Linked DNA regions of Caenorhabditis elegans. The protein of the gene in region 1 interacts with the protein of each later gene in a pairwise test. Each region holds a gene or a part of one and is shown on either strand. Other genes may lie near its edges.

Region 1 (6,484 bases):
TTTCTTAGTGAAAAAGTCCAATTTTTCATATTTTTCGTGGTATTTCGGTATTTCGGCACTTATGTGCAGTACAGCCGGCATATTTTAGAGTGAAATCCCCATCGACGCGTATCACGAGACCACAAGATTCTGAAAATGCGTATCGCGCAAAATATCTCGTAGCGAAAACTACAGTACAGTAAATACAGTAAATTCTGTAGTGCCTGTGTCGATTTACGGGCTCTATTTTCGAAATCATATTTTTTTGATTTACCGATAGAATATTAAAATTAAGCAAAAATGCCACTATTTGAACAAAAATCCATTTCAAAACTCGAGCCCGTAAATCGACACTACAGTAGTCATTTAAAGAATGACTGTAGTTTTCGCTACGAGATATTTTGCGCGTCAAATATGTTGCGCAATACGCATTCTCAGAATTTTGTGTTCCCGTAATATTTTTTTTCGGATACTTTTAAAGTTTTTGGGTGGAGTGTTTCCGTAATACACTTTTAATCAACCGGGAGCAATTCCCAAACTCACCGACTGTTCACCTCCTTCGCTGGAAGAAGCCGTGCCGTGTCATCACTGAATTTGCACAGAAAATGAAGTTCCCCAGGTCCCTTGGTGAGCCCGACAATGCATTTTAACTGCTTGCCTTCCAGTGAGAATTTGTCATTTTGATTCGTTTCCTTCTTTTCATCTTTATCCTCTTCTGGATCCGCTTGATCTTCGGAAGGTTCGGGCTTCTGGCTGTGTCGTTTGCGAATTGGTTTCTCTCTCTGTAAAAATAAAATAAGTTTGTTGCAGAAAAATCGGATTTTATGACTTTGTAATTTTAACTCTAAAAAACCTAATTTTAGTTAAAATCTTCAAGTTTACCAGCTTTTCCGTGTGAAAATAGGAGAATAATCGAACAAAAATCTAATTTAAACAGTTGCAGCACGGAAAAGTGGGCAAAATCGAAGATTTTTCAAACAATTTTCACTATGAAATTCGCTTTTTAGGACCATTTCAAGTAAAATAAACTTTAAAAAATTCTTCAAAACCTTTGAAAATTCCCTCTCAAACTCGTCCAACATCTCGACGCACTGGAGATTCTCTCTCGGCTCCCAGCTAGAGTCAGACTCGGGGAATCCTTGCCACTGTATGAGAAATTCGTCTCTGCCGGCTTTTCCAGTTCGCTTGTCCAGCACTTTTTCCACCATGAACACGTTGTCCTTCTGGAAATCAGATTTTTGAATAAAATGTGACTTTTTTTTTCTTTGTCGGGGAACTTATACTGTCGCTTTGTTTCTAGCAAAATTGGATTTTTTATGCAAAAATAGATTTTTTGTTGCAAAATTGTTTTTTTAAAATATTTTTTTTAGTGCAAAAATTGATTTATTGTTTTTTTGCAAAATGGACTGTTTTTTGGTTTTTTTTCGTTGCAAAATTGTATTTTTTAGTTTTTTTTGTTGTAAAAATAGATTTTTTGGTTTTTTCGCCGTTCCATACCGGATCTTCGATTTTTGCTCGCTTTGTTGATTTGCTCGACATTTTTGAAATTGCTGAAATAAATTTGAGCTAAAATGGGAGAAATCTGAAAAAACATAGAAAAAATATGGAATAAAGATTCGAACAATATCTTGAAATTAAAAAAAGGCTCGAACAAGAAAAAAAATCATATTTAGTTTACTCACAGACAATCACCGTACAGAAATATTTAAAAAAAAAATAAAAATTATCAATCTTTTTCAGCATCATCATCATCACTCTCAGAGTCATTTTCTCCACCTTCAAGCCCTTCCACATCCTCCATCATAATCTCCTGTTCCTCATCGCTCTTCTCCTCGGCTTCTGGAACATTTGAGTCGTTTTCAGGCTCCTCGGGCTCATCTTCGTGATCATGATGATGGTGATCGTCGCATTCGTGTGGTTTTTCATCATCGTCACTATCTTTTTCTTCTTCCTGTTTCTCGGCTTCTTGCTTCTGTTGTTGCTTCTTCCGTTTCAGGTAGGTTAGGAGCTCTGAAAATTTAAAAATTAATTTTTTTTTGCCACATTTTTCGAGCTACTATCTTGTGAATTTCGCAAGTTTTGGATTAAAAGCGCGGTTTGTTGCATGTAAATTTACGAAGGATTTTGTACTTCACCCGGACAACTGTGAGTTATTGGCTGAAATTTACTTTTTTGAACTATTTTCGCTGATTCTCTTCCAACATTCCAAATTACCAAAGAAATGAGTTTTCCAAAAAGCAGAAAAAGAGGCGGAACGTAATTTTGCAACCAATTTTGCAACCATGCGGCACGGTTTTCCTTTTTCTTTTTTGGGGTTTTTCCATAAAAGTTTCGATTTTATTCCTTTTAATTCACATTAGATTGGGAGGATATTTCAAGCTAAATTGGTTGTAAAAATATGAACTATAATCGAAATGTTATGCGAATTAAATTTGATTTTTTTCTCGTAAAAAAAAATAAAACAGGAAGAATCGAAGTTTTTTGGAAAAAAAAACCAGAAAAAAAACCAAAAAAAAAAACAGTGGAAAATTGTCGAAAAATCGTGCCGCAGAGTTGCGAAATTAGGCTCCTCCTCTCTTTCTAGTTATAATGTCTTATTATTGTCCAAAAAATGTGAAAAAAGATTCACGCTTGTCCACGTGCAGTATCCTCCGTAACATGTAAGTATCAAACTGCGCCGAAAAACCTTCCAAAACTTGCGAAAATCACGAATTAATCGTTCTATTTCAAACCTTTTGCGGTATTCATAATATTCTCAGTATTCTGCTGACATATTGGGCATTTTGACGACTTTTGGAACGATTTCAACGCACAACCGGTGCAAAAGTAGTGCTTGCATTTTGTCACGATCGGATCAACAAATGGATTTCCGCAAATAAAACAATCCTCCGGAAACGTATCGTCGCCTTCATGAATCTCGTAATTCGCATCGTCTTCAGCACCATATTTTCCTGCTTCGTACTCCTCATCAATCTCCCATCCGTGTTTATAGTCCGATCGGTCGTGCACAAATTTACACGAATCTCCAAACGTACAGAATCCAGTCTCCTTGTAATCCTTGCAAATATCCGGTGCAAAATCCCAACGGACTGTTTGTCGTAGAAATTGTGGCGCCCGAACGGGCCCAACTCGATTATAACCACTTGCAGCGTTTCCCTTGGCCGTATCCTTCGCCTCTTTGGCTCCATACAGTGCACTTCCCTTGTACAGAATTTTTCCGTCTTTCTCGACGCCTTCCTTCAGTTGCTGTTGGACTCGTTCGAATTGAGCCTGGGCATCGTGTGAATAGTCTGTGTCCACTTCGAGTGTTGCAGTGGCACCTTGATCACGTGGTCCAGATGGACCGGCATCTCCTGAAGCGGCGAACGAGTGAGTTGCTACTGCGATATCCTGATTGTCGTCAGAGTCGTCAGAATCATCCGATGAATTATCAGCACGTCGTGTTGAGGCGTCTAGTTGTTTGGTCTGAATTTCAAAGTTTATTGGGATTTTCCAAAATTTTGGAGCACTAAAGTACCAAGATCTCACCGACTGGACCATCGGATTCGTACGACGTCGCTTTTGAATCACATCCTTCACTTCTGAATCTTGATCCTCATCACTTGAGCTTTCCTTTTTACGAACGACGGGTGCATTGCGCTTTTTCGGTTTTCGGAAGAGATCCATTATCTGAAAAATTAAAACTATTTATTAAATTCAATTAATTAATAAAGCTTCAAATCTGACAAACGAGAAATACAATAAAACGGTTCAACATTATGAGAGGAAGATGAATCAAACAATAGAGCTCTACAGCCGAAATTTTTGGCGCCATGGAAATCATTTTTCAAATTGTCTCCAATGTGCAAGATTTCCGAGGGAGAAATTAGATCGAAATGGTTGACAACTAGCTGGAAGATCTTCTCATCGGGCTTTTCGTACCCAATTTCGCCGGAGAGAACTGTCATGGAGAAAAGATCGAGTAAATTGAATTGAGAAAGTAGAGATTTCAAGCGACTATCGAAATTGGAGATGACAACCAGGATGATTCCTTTCAGGCGAAGTTTTTGCAGAGTTTGGCGCGTCTAAAATGAAAAATTGCAGTATTTTTTTTTCAACAATTCACAAAATTTACATCGCTTTCAACTAGTTTCCACGGCTCAGGAGTTGCATAGTGATTGTACAAAGCTCCAGCGATCACTTCAACCCGTCCTTTTTCAGAATCCGGAGCACACTGAAACTATCAAGTAGGGGACTTGCCTAATTCAGATTACACCTACATCCAAAAGCGTAGAAGAAACTACTTCAATCCACCAACTTTTGTTTCCAATTCCATTGAACCCAAAGCAGGGCGATGCGATGCTCATTCGTTTATAATTTTTAAGAAAGCTTCCCATGATTTGATCGGAGTCGACTTCCAAATCATATTGCCTCGCGAAACGGGAATAAACTATCGGTGGAGACTCTTTCATCGTGATTAGTGTATCACGAGCATCTAGGGAGAGAACTTTCACGACTGGAGGGGTGGAAAGGTTACGAGAAGTTGTACGGAGCAGGTTGGAGAGCATTGAGCTAAATATGGAAATCTAGAGTTTTTTTTAGATTTCCAAAGAAAAGGTTAGTGTGTTGATTGAAAATTTTCCTCCAAATTGGCCGAAAACAATATTTTAACGACGGAAATACTGCATTTTAACTATTTAAATGACGATTTCGTAGAAAATAATATTGGAAGTATCGGAAATCGATTTTTCGAATTCAAACATCAGGAATTTTTGAGAAGTTTTTCGAGATGCATAGGGATAACACTAGGCTTCTTAAAAGAAAAAAGGTTTTTGCATCCGAATTTCAGAGATATTTCTGTAGAAAAAAAAGAGTTCAATTTACTGTTCAAACTCTCCAAATAACGATTTCTCAGCCAAAATCAATTAATTTCCAACACCTGATTTTGAACAGAATAACAATTTTTGAACAATTTAAAAGAAATCTTATCACAAAATTCGTTCATTTTGGCTTGCTTCGAGTATTTAGAAGGAAAAACTAGAGATTTCCTTGACTCCACTTGTTTCATCGATTAGGAATACTTTATCTAAAGATATTTTTTATATTTAAACCTATTTCTTTATTTAAAATCCAAAATCGCAAGAAATCCCTCATAAATTCGTCAAAAACAAAAATAAACTAAAAAAACACTTTTAAAAAATCGATAAAATTCGAAAGACCCGCGTGCGGCACGGAAAAAGTGGGCGGAGTGCGCCGAACGCAAACCACTCGCACACTTCTCATACACTCCGCCACAACACGCTCCACCGGAGTGTGTGACACAGCGCGCCAACTTGAAAATGGCCGAGAGAGTGTCTCGTGCTCAGGTCATGCGCGGCCTAGTTTTACCATGTGATTTTGACGCCAATTCAAATGATCACATTTCCTCGTGCTTTGCAGCGCTCCTTCTCCTCGTCCAAACCCGTCGAACTCGTGCTTTTCTCATCGCAAAACTGCTCGCTGTGCGTACATTTTCACAGACAACTCAAAAACTATCTTAAAAAGCATCCCGGGATTGTTGTCGTCGAGAAAAATCTCGCCCAAGAATCGCCAGAGCTAATTGAAGTGAGACTTTCTTCTACGTCTACGTTTTTTTTGTTTTGTATTCTATTTTCTCATTTAATAAAAATATAAATACAGAAAATTTAAAAATAGGTAGTTTAAATTCCTAATTTTCAGAAATTCAAATACGACATTCCCGTCCTGGTGGCCGGAGATAATAAAATCCTTCTGAAACATCGATTCAGTGGAGTTCTACTCGAAGAAAACCTCAAAAAATGAGCAACTGCGAGATAATCGCGGTGCACGGAGGTTTGCGCACACTAATTATCGATTTTTTGCGGCAAAATTTAAATCTTGCAGGTGCGTGTGCTAAATTCGACGCAAGTCTTGCCGAGGACTGCCGTTTTGCGTGTGGTACAGGCACTGTTGAGAATGCGTTGACGGTGAGGAATTCTTTTTTGGTTTTCTCACGAAATATATTTAATTTTTTTTGCAGGATCTTGAAAGAATAGAAAAGTTCAACTGTGGATTCGGCTCACATTTGACTATCGATCAAGAAGTTGAATGTGAAGCATCATATATGTCATCCAAAAATTTAAGGTTTCCCTAAAAACCATACATTTCTCCCTTACCGATTATTTTCAAATTCAGTTTCGGCGCGGTCGGCGCGATTTCCAACGTTTTCCATCCGTCCCGAGTGGCACGTCACCTTGCACATAGCAATTGGTGGAAGCAGCGACGTCTTCTTCATCCCCTTATTCTTGTTGGTCGTGGAGCAGAGAAATATGCTGTTAAAAATGGTAAATTTCTGAATTTTGAATTTTAAATCTCGAAAAATCATTGGATTTTCAGATTTTCCAACGTGTACACCTGAAGAACTCGTATCAAAAGCGGCGAAAGAGAGCTTTGAGAAGTATTTACATCGAATGCTTCATCCATATGATACACATGACACTGTAGGAGCTATTTCAATTAATACCAATGT
Region 2 (5,731 bases), on another chromosome or scaffold:
CATTTCCTTTTTCTTCATTTTTTTTTGTTTTTTTCGTGTCGATTTTTTTAAAAGTTTTTATGTACTGAACAACCACAACTAAAATGCATAACCTTTCAGTGAATAAACGTTTGCTCCAAATTTTAATAAAAGTTTTGACTTTTGATTATGAACCAGTGTGTTAATTTTTTTGGAAAACGTGCTGACTTAACTTGAAAACAAAGTGGGATATAAAGAAGACATGTATTTTTTTGGTGTATTCATTACAGTTACAGCAATTGGTCGCGCATTTATAACAATATTCTTTTGCACAAAATTACTGCTAGACATATTTTGGTAGCCACTGCCCATATCAACATTTTTCCATCATTTAAAAATCTATTTTCAGGTTTAAAAAACTCAAGAAATCACATGATTTGACCCTTTTCTATTTTCGATTTTTGTTGGACATAGTATTCAGTACTATAAGTATGTGCAAAGCTTTTATTAAAAAATCATCGAAACTCTTTCAGTTATATTTTTTCTTGGTTCAATTTTGATTACTATGGCCAAATTCCAAGAGCTCTCCCATATTGTAGAAATTTCAATGTTTTTCATATTCTGGGCAAGATATATAACAGGATCTACTAGATCCATTCTGGCTCTTTTAATTGCAACTGATAGAACATGGGTTAGTTGTAAAGGATATTTACTCCGGAGTTCCCAGTAGTAACAGGTTCATTTTGGAGTGGCGCTCTCTCTTTTAGGTCTCAGTAGATCTCGCCAATCCAAAATGAAGCCGCGATTCCAAAATGAACCTATTACTACTGTTCCCCATGTCACTTGTTTTCAGTTTTTTTTTTGTATTTTTTGAAACGAAAATCTGCATTAGAAAAGTATAAATTATTCTTTCAGGCCGCGTATTTCCCTGTTTGGTTTTTCAATTATCGAAATTATATTTGAAGCAAGTTCATCATTATCATCGTCTTCATATATCCTTTCATAGATGGATCAGTGCTATTTATCTATTGTCAAAATGCCATAGAAATTTCTCCGGGATGCAAAAATGCAGCATGTGTTATGTCTGATTGTTACTTGCTTTATTGGCTGGCTTACGAAAAAGTTATTAAAGTTTTTCATGACAAGAAAAAACGAAATTATTGCAGATTGTGTACACTATAATCATCGTTTTGTCGTTGTTATTGTCTTTAAAATTATACGTCTGGAACAGGTATAAAAACGTGACAATCAGCTGGGAGATTAAAAGAGTATGTTCTTAAGCTTATGAAATTGCATAAAAAAATAAGTATTTTCAGGTAAATCGTCTTGCCTTAATTGACACATGCACAAATCTAATATTTGGATTGATACCGCCATTTCTTGTAACATATACTCGCAGCACGTTTGATCATGCAGGGCCCTTAAATACGTCACTAAAGATTTTGGGATATTCTTTAGAGTCTTATCTGGTTTCTGTGAATTTAAGAAAAAATAGAATTACAAATAACGCGCAACAGAGTGGAATGTTTGCTGATTCCAATTAGTTTGTGCAAGGCTCGAAATTGATTCTTTTTAAATCTTAAATAAAGTTTTTGAATCTCAAAAATTCGACTATCGGCGGTTTGTAGATTTTTTCAATCAACTGTTTGAAAAATTTCAATGGTAATTGTTAGGACTATTTTTGGATTATGTAGTTGAAAATTTCATAAGAAAACTCCAATGGCGTATGAAATTGTTCAAAATTATTCTTTATTTTCTCACTATCAGAAAATTTGAGCTCAGAAAGCTTGTCAAAAAGTATCGAGACCCATTTTTTGGGAATTTAATCACAGAAAGGAAAAAAAAAACATTATCAATTCATTCCCTTTTCAACGGCACTGATCCAAACATTGTCTTTGGTTCGTTTCTCGAGATAAGGCTTCAAGTTTGGTCTTTGCCACATCCGCTCCCAAAATGCCTTCAAAGCTGGAAACTTGTCCAAAATCTTTCCATCCAAAACGTGATAGATATCTAATTCTTCAAAGAGTATATAGTCGGTGTAACTAAGTTTGTTGCCAATAATAAAGTCTCCGGGGTGAATTTCAAATTGGCATTCCAATCTTTCCAAAGATTCTGGAAGGGTCTTGTTGACCATGTCTTCACGACTTCCCTCGTCAAAATAAACGTAACGAATATATTTCAAACGAACATCACGAATCGCATCAAAAAGCATATCTAGAAAAGTCGCTTCTTGTTCATTGGATCCGTTCAGCTCTGCAAATCTATTTTAACAGTTGCACACAACAAATAAACCAACTATGAACTCTTCCCAGGTGTCGCATAATTGCTCCAGCTTGCACAATTTCTTGCCCATCAACTTTATAACATGGAACTTGCCCGAACTTCATTGTTTTCTTAAGCTCTGCCCATTCGTTGCTTTGCCATGGGAAGCGAATATCTTCAAATTTGATACCATTATCAATTAGTAGAAGACGGATGTACTCCCCATATCCTGAAATAATTATCATAAATATTCCAAGCAAAAAAACAACGGCTGTCTGATTGGCTTCAAGACAACTCACGACTAAAATAATAAAATAAAAACTTACCGCGGATTGAAAAATAGTATAGTTTTGGCACTGTCATTGCCTTCTCTTAATGTTTTCTCGATCATTGCATGGGCTTTTATACGGTTTTTCTGATTGTAATTGTTTGGCCATGCGAATTTAGTTAACTTTCGCAGATTAAAAGAACGGAAACAAGTTTGGCCTGTCAAAATAAACACTCAAAGTAAATTTCAAATTTGATGTAAACAATTAGTGCAGTGGTGCGATGAAAAAACTAATGAGTTTTTGGAGATCCAAGTTCTTGTAGATTGTTCTGTTTGAGTAAATAAGTTGTTTGTGCGAACTTTTTAATGATTAACTGAAGTTTATTGCCGTTAAAAGTCCAAATACATTGAAAGTTGTGTAAATCTGAAAAAACGACCGAATTATCACAAAAAAAAGTTAAATTTTCATGTAAATTCTTTTAAGTTCTATCCGGTTAAAAACTTTTTGTGAAATGAAAATAGATGTTATGCTAAACTCTTTGTATCAAAATAAAAAGGTGACAAAAACACCGTATCTGTAACTGATTTTTCAAAAAAATTTATTTAGTTCAAACTCGAAAAAAAAACCAATTCTGATGCTACGAGATCTAATATTGCATGTTGAAAATTAAATTAAACATTATTGAGAAATTACATGTGAATTTAAACAATTATTTCCCCAAAAGCATTCCAATGAGTCCAGGTCGATACATTGGACCATAGCCACCGTAGCCTCCATACCCTCCATATGGACTGTAACCTCCATACATTCCTGGATGCCCATAGTTCTGATAGCCCCCATATGGATATCCACCATATCCACCATAAGGGTATCCACCTCCATAGTAACCGCCTAAATTTTTTACATTTTTCTGAAATAAGAAAAAAATCAAATTACCGTATTGCGCAAAAGACACAGAGAGTAAAGCTAGTAATACAAAGAAGCGGATCATGATGAACGAAATCTGTTAGATTACTAAACTAGCGGCTTATATACATGACATGGTTTATTGGTCAGTTTGACGAACAGGACGTTATCTGGTTAAGCTGCCAGAAGGAGACGATTGTTAATCATTTGACTTGTTTGTGACTTGTTGGTGTCCACCTATGTAGTTGATGATGACATACATCTGAACTTCGGATTAATATGGAAAAATTGTTACTGTCGCGGGCTAATAAGAGAGATCATGATCAACTAGATATTAGTTGGTGCTAACTGGGATGTACTGTAAAATGTTCACTATCGGGAACATTTTTCGAATTCGTTTTTTTATTGATGCGTTCACTTTCGCAGTACAAATATTAAGATTTCAACATTTCTAACTATTTCATACTACATACATAGGAAATAGAACCAATAGACAAGAAATTTGAAGAATATCACCAAAATCTACGTTGACAATGCTCTGCTGCGATTTTATAAACTTTCAGAGTGGCACCTACAATAATTCCTTCTACTGTAAATTCACAGAGGGCTATACAAAAATGAAATATCCAATGCCCGATTGTTCAGAAAAAATTATTGTTTGTTATGTCAGTTTCATAAATTTTGAAATCCCTCAAGACTAATTACTATGAAAAATATCACAACTCCCTTATATTTTATGTCAGCCTGAAAATATTACTATACAAATTGTAATATCGTATCATTTAGTATGAATGCTGAAAATCAAACTACTTTTGCATTAATACCAGTAAGTAGATCTTTGTGACTGTCTGAATAAAAAACTGAATTAAAGATAACATTCATTGGATCAGTTTTAAATTTCTCTATTTTAATTGCCATTTATAAACTTCCGGCATTGAATAACTCATTTGGATACCTCACTGCAAATCAAGCAATTGTAGATGCCCTTCATTCGGTTATTTTCTTGCTATACTTTTGCCCAATGGTCATTTTGTGAGTCAAATTATCACAAAAATTGAGGAAACATTAAATTAAGGGACCAACCAATAATGAAGAGTTACTCGTTTATCGTGGGATGTTTCCTTCTTTTCTGTTATGAACTTTCAGTTTTAACACATTTTTTGATATCTATCAATAGATTTTGCGCTGTTTGGGTACCACTCAAATACGAAAAATGGTTCAGCAGAAAGAATACATCAAGCATCATTATCCTGTTGTGGATTTTTGAAGTGGCTCTAGCAATTGTTTTTTACCAGAGTAAGTTATAAATGTCGAGGTTCATACGGAATAGGATAACCCGTCTTGAAAAAGATATACTTGCTATAATAAAGTTATCTTTTTTTTCGAGCTTACTGATGAAATTCAGAGTATAAAGCCATTTCTGAATACTTTAGCTTTGAGAAGCATACAAGACAAATATGAAAATTTAGCTAAAATTCATGCTAAAAAAAGAAAATAATAATAATAAATGTTCAATAGTTCTCTGCCACGTGGCTTACTTGGAAGAGATTCATTTTATTCAATTTACTAACACTAAATTCTGTGGCTTTGTTGCTTGGTATGATGATTTTGTGAAAAATTCTGTAATTATCGCAATAGTTGTTTGTGTGGATATTTCAACTGTTCTTCGCGTTCATCATGTAACCAAAAAGGTTTTACTTTCCTCGAAAATTTTTAACAATATAATTATTTTTCAGGTACGTGGCGACAACAAATTCACGCTTCGAGATTTGCGATTCCTGAGACAATCGGTTTTTCAAGGAACCGTATTTCTTCTAGAGTTAGTAACATATTTCTTCATCCCACAGTATTTTCACAATCAGTGGATCATTTTTCTTGGAACTTCTTTCATGTGGGTTTCAATTCATGCAATCGATGGGTGAGCTCAAAAAACAATTAAAAAACCGGGCAATTATCAATTTAAAGAATGATCGTCGTCATGTGCAACCCGGAAGTACGAAATTTTTTGATGGGTCGCAAGAATGTTTACCAAATCACTGGTCCGCAAAACACGACAGTACCTGAAAGAACACGTGAAATGAGCAACATATAATTTAATGCGTCATAACTAAATTTCAAAAACATTATTTCAAACTTTAACAATAAATGTGTCACTAATCCCGTTTGTTTTATGCTAACAGTTATTATAGTTTAATACTTCTATAGTTATTATTTCTATGCTCAGTTTCCAATACCCAAAGTTATTTTGGCATCTAACCGGTATCTAAGTAACTTAGACTATTAATTTGCTCTTCGGTGATCAACTTGAAAAACAGGAAACCAATGGTATGCATTAA

The links. The genes of interacting proteins can lie anywhere in the genome.
Region 2: the proteins of rnf-113 (region 1) and gst-41 interact in a two-hybrid assay, tested with the Caenorhabditis elegans proteins (one large-scale study listed by BioGRID).

What each region holds. Positions count from the first base shown.
Region 1 is NC_003281.10:10,753,993-10,760,476, forward strand, and holds rnf-113 (putative E3 ubiquitin-protein ligase rnf113), read right to left. Parts: upstream 3,649-6,484; 5' UTR 3,646-3,648; coding exon 3,508-3,645; intron 3,445-3,507; coding exon 2,712-3,444; intron 1,990-2,711; coding exon 1,706-1,989; 3' UTR 1,632-1,705; downstream 1-1,631. Other genes in the region: Chromobox protein homolog hpl-2, read right to left, coding at 523-761, 1,029-1,202, 1,477-1,518; K01G5.10 (Haloacid dehalogenase-like hydrolase domain-containing protein 3), read right to left, coding at 3,684-4,043, 4,094-4,192, 4,239-4,526; tasp-1 (TASPase homolog), read left to right, coding at 5,775-5,808, 5,860-5,942, 5,996-6,099, 6,151-6,299, 6,352-6,482. UniProt on the Caenorhabditis elegans protein: May function as E3 ubiquitin-protein ligase that catalyzes the transfer of ubiquitin onto target proteins.
Region 2 is NC_003283.11:7,396,706-7,402,436, forward strand, and holds gst-41 (glutathione transferase), read right to left. Parts: upstream 2,598-5,731; 5' UTR 2,584-2,597; coding exon 2,547-2,583; intron 2,450-2,546; coding exon 2,255-2,449; intron 2,212-2,254; coding exon 1,811-2,211; 3' UTR 1,691-1,810; downstream 1-1,690. Other genes in the region: cnc-9 (CaeNaCin (Caenorhabditis bacteriocin)), read right to left, coding at 3,199-3,380, 3,426-3,480; srx-60 (G-protein coupled receptors family 1 profile domain-containing protein), read left to right, coding at 4,183-4,221, 4,267-4,427, 4,471-4,691, 4,914-5,086, 5,132-5,313, 5,361-5,487.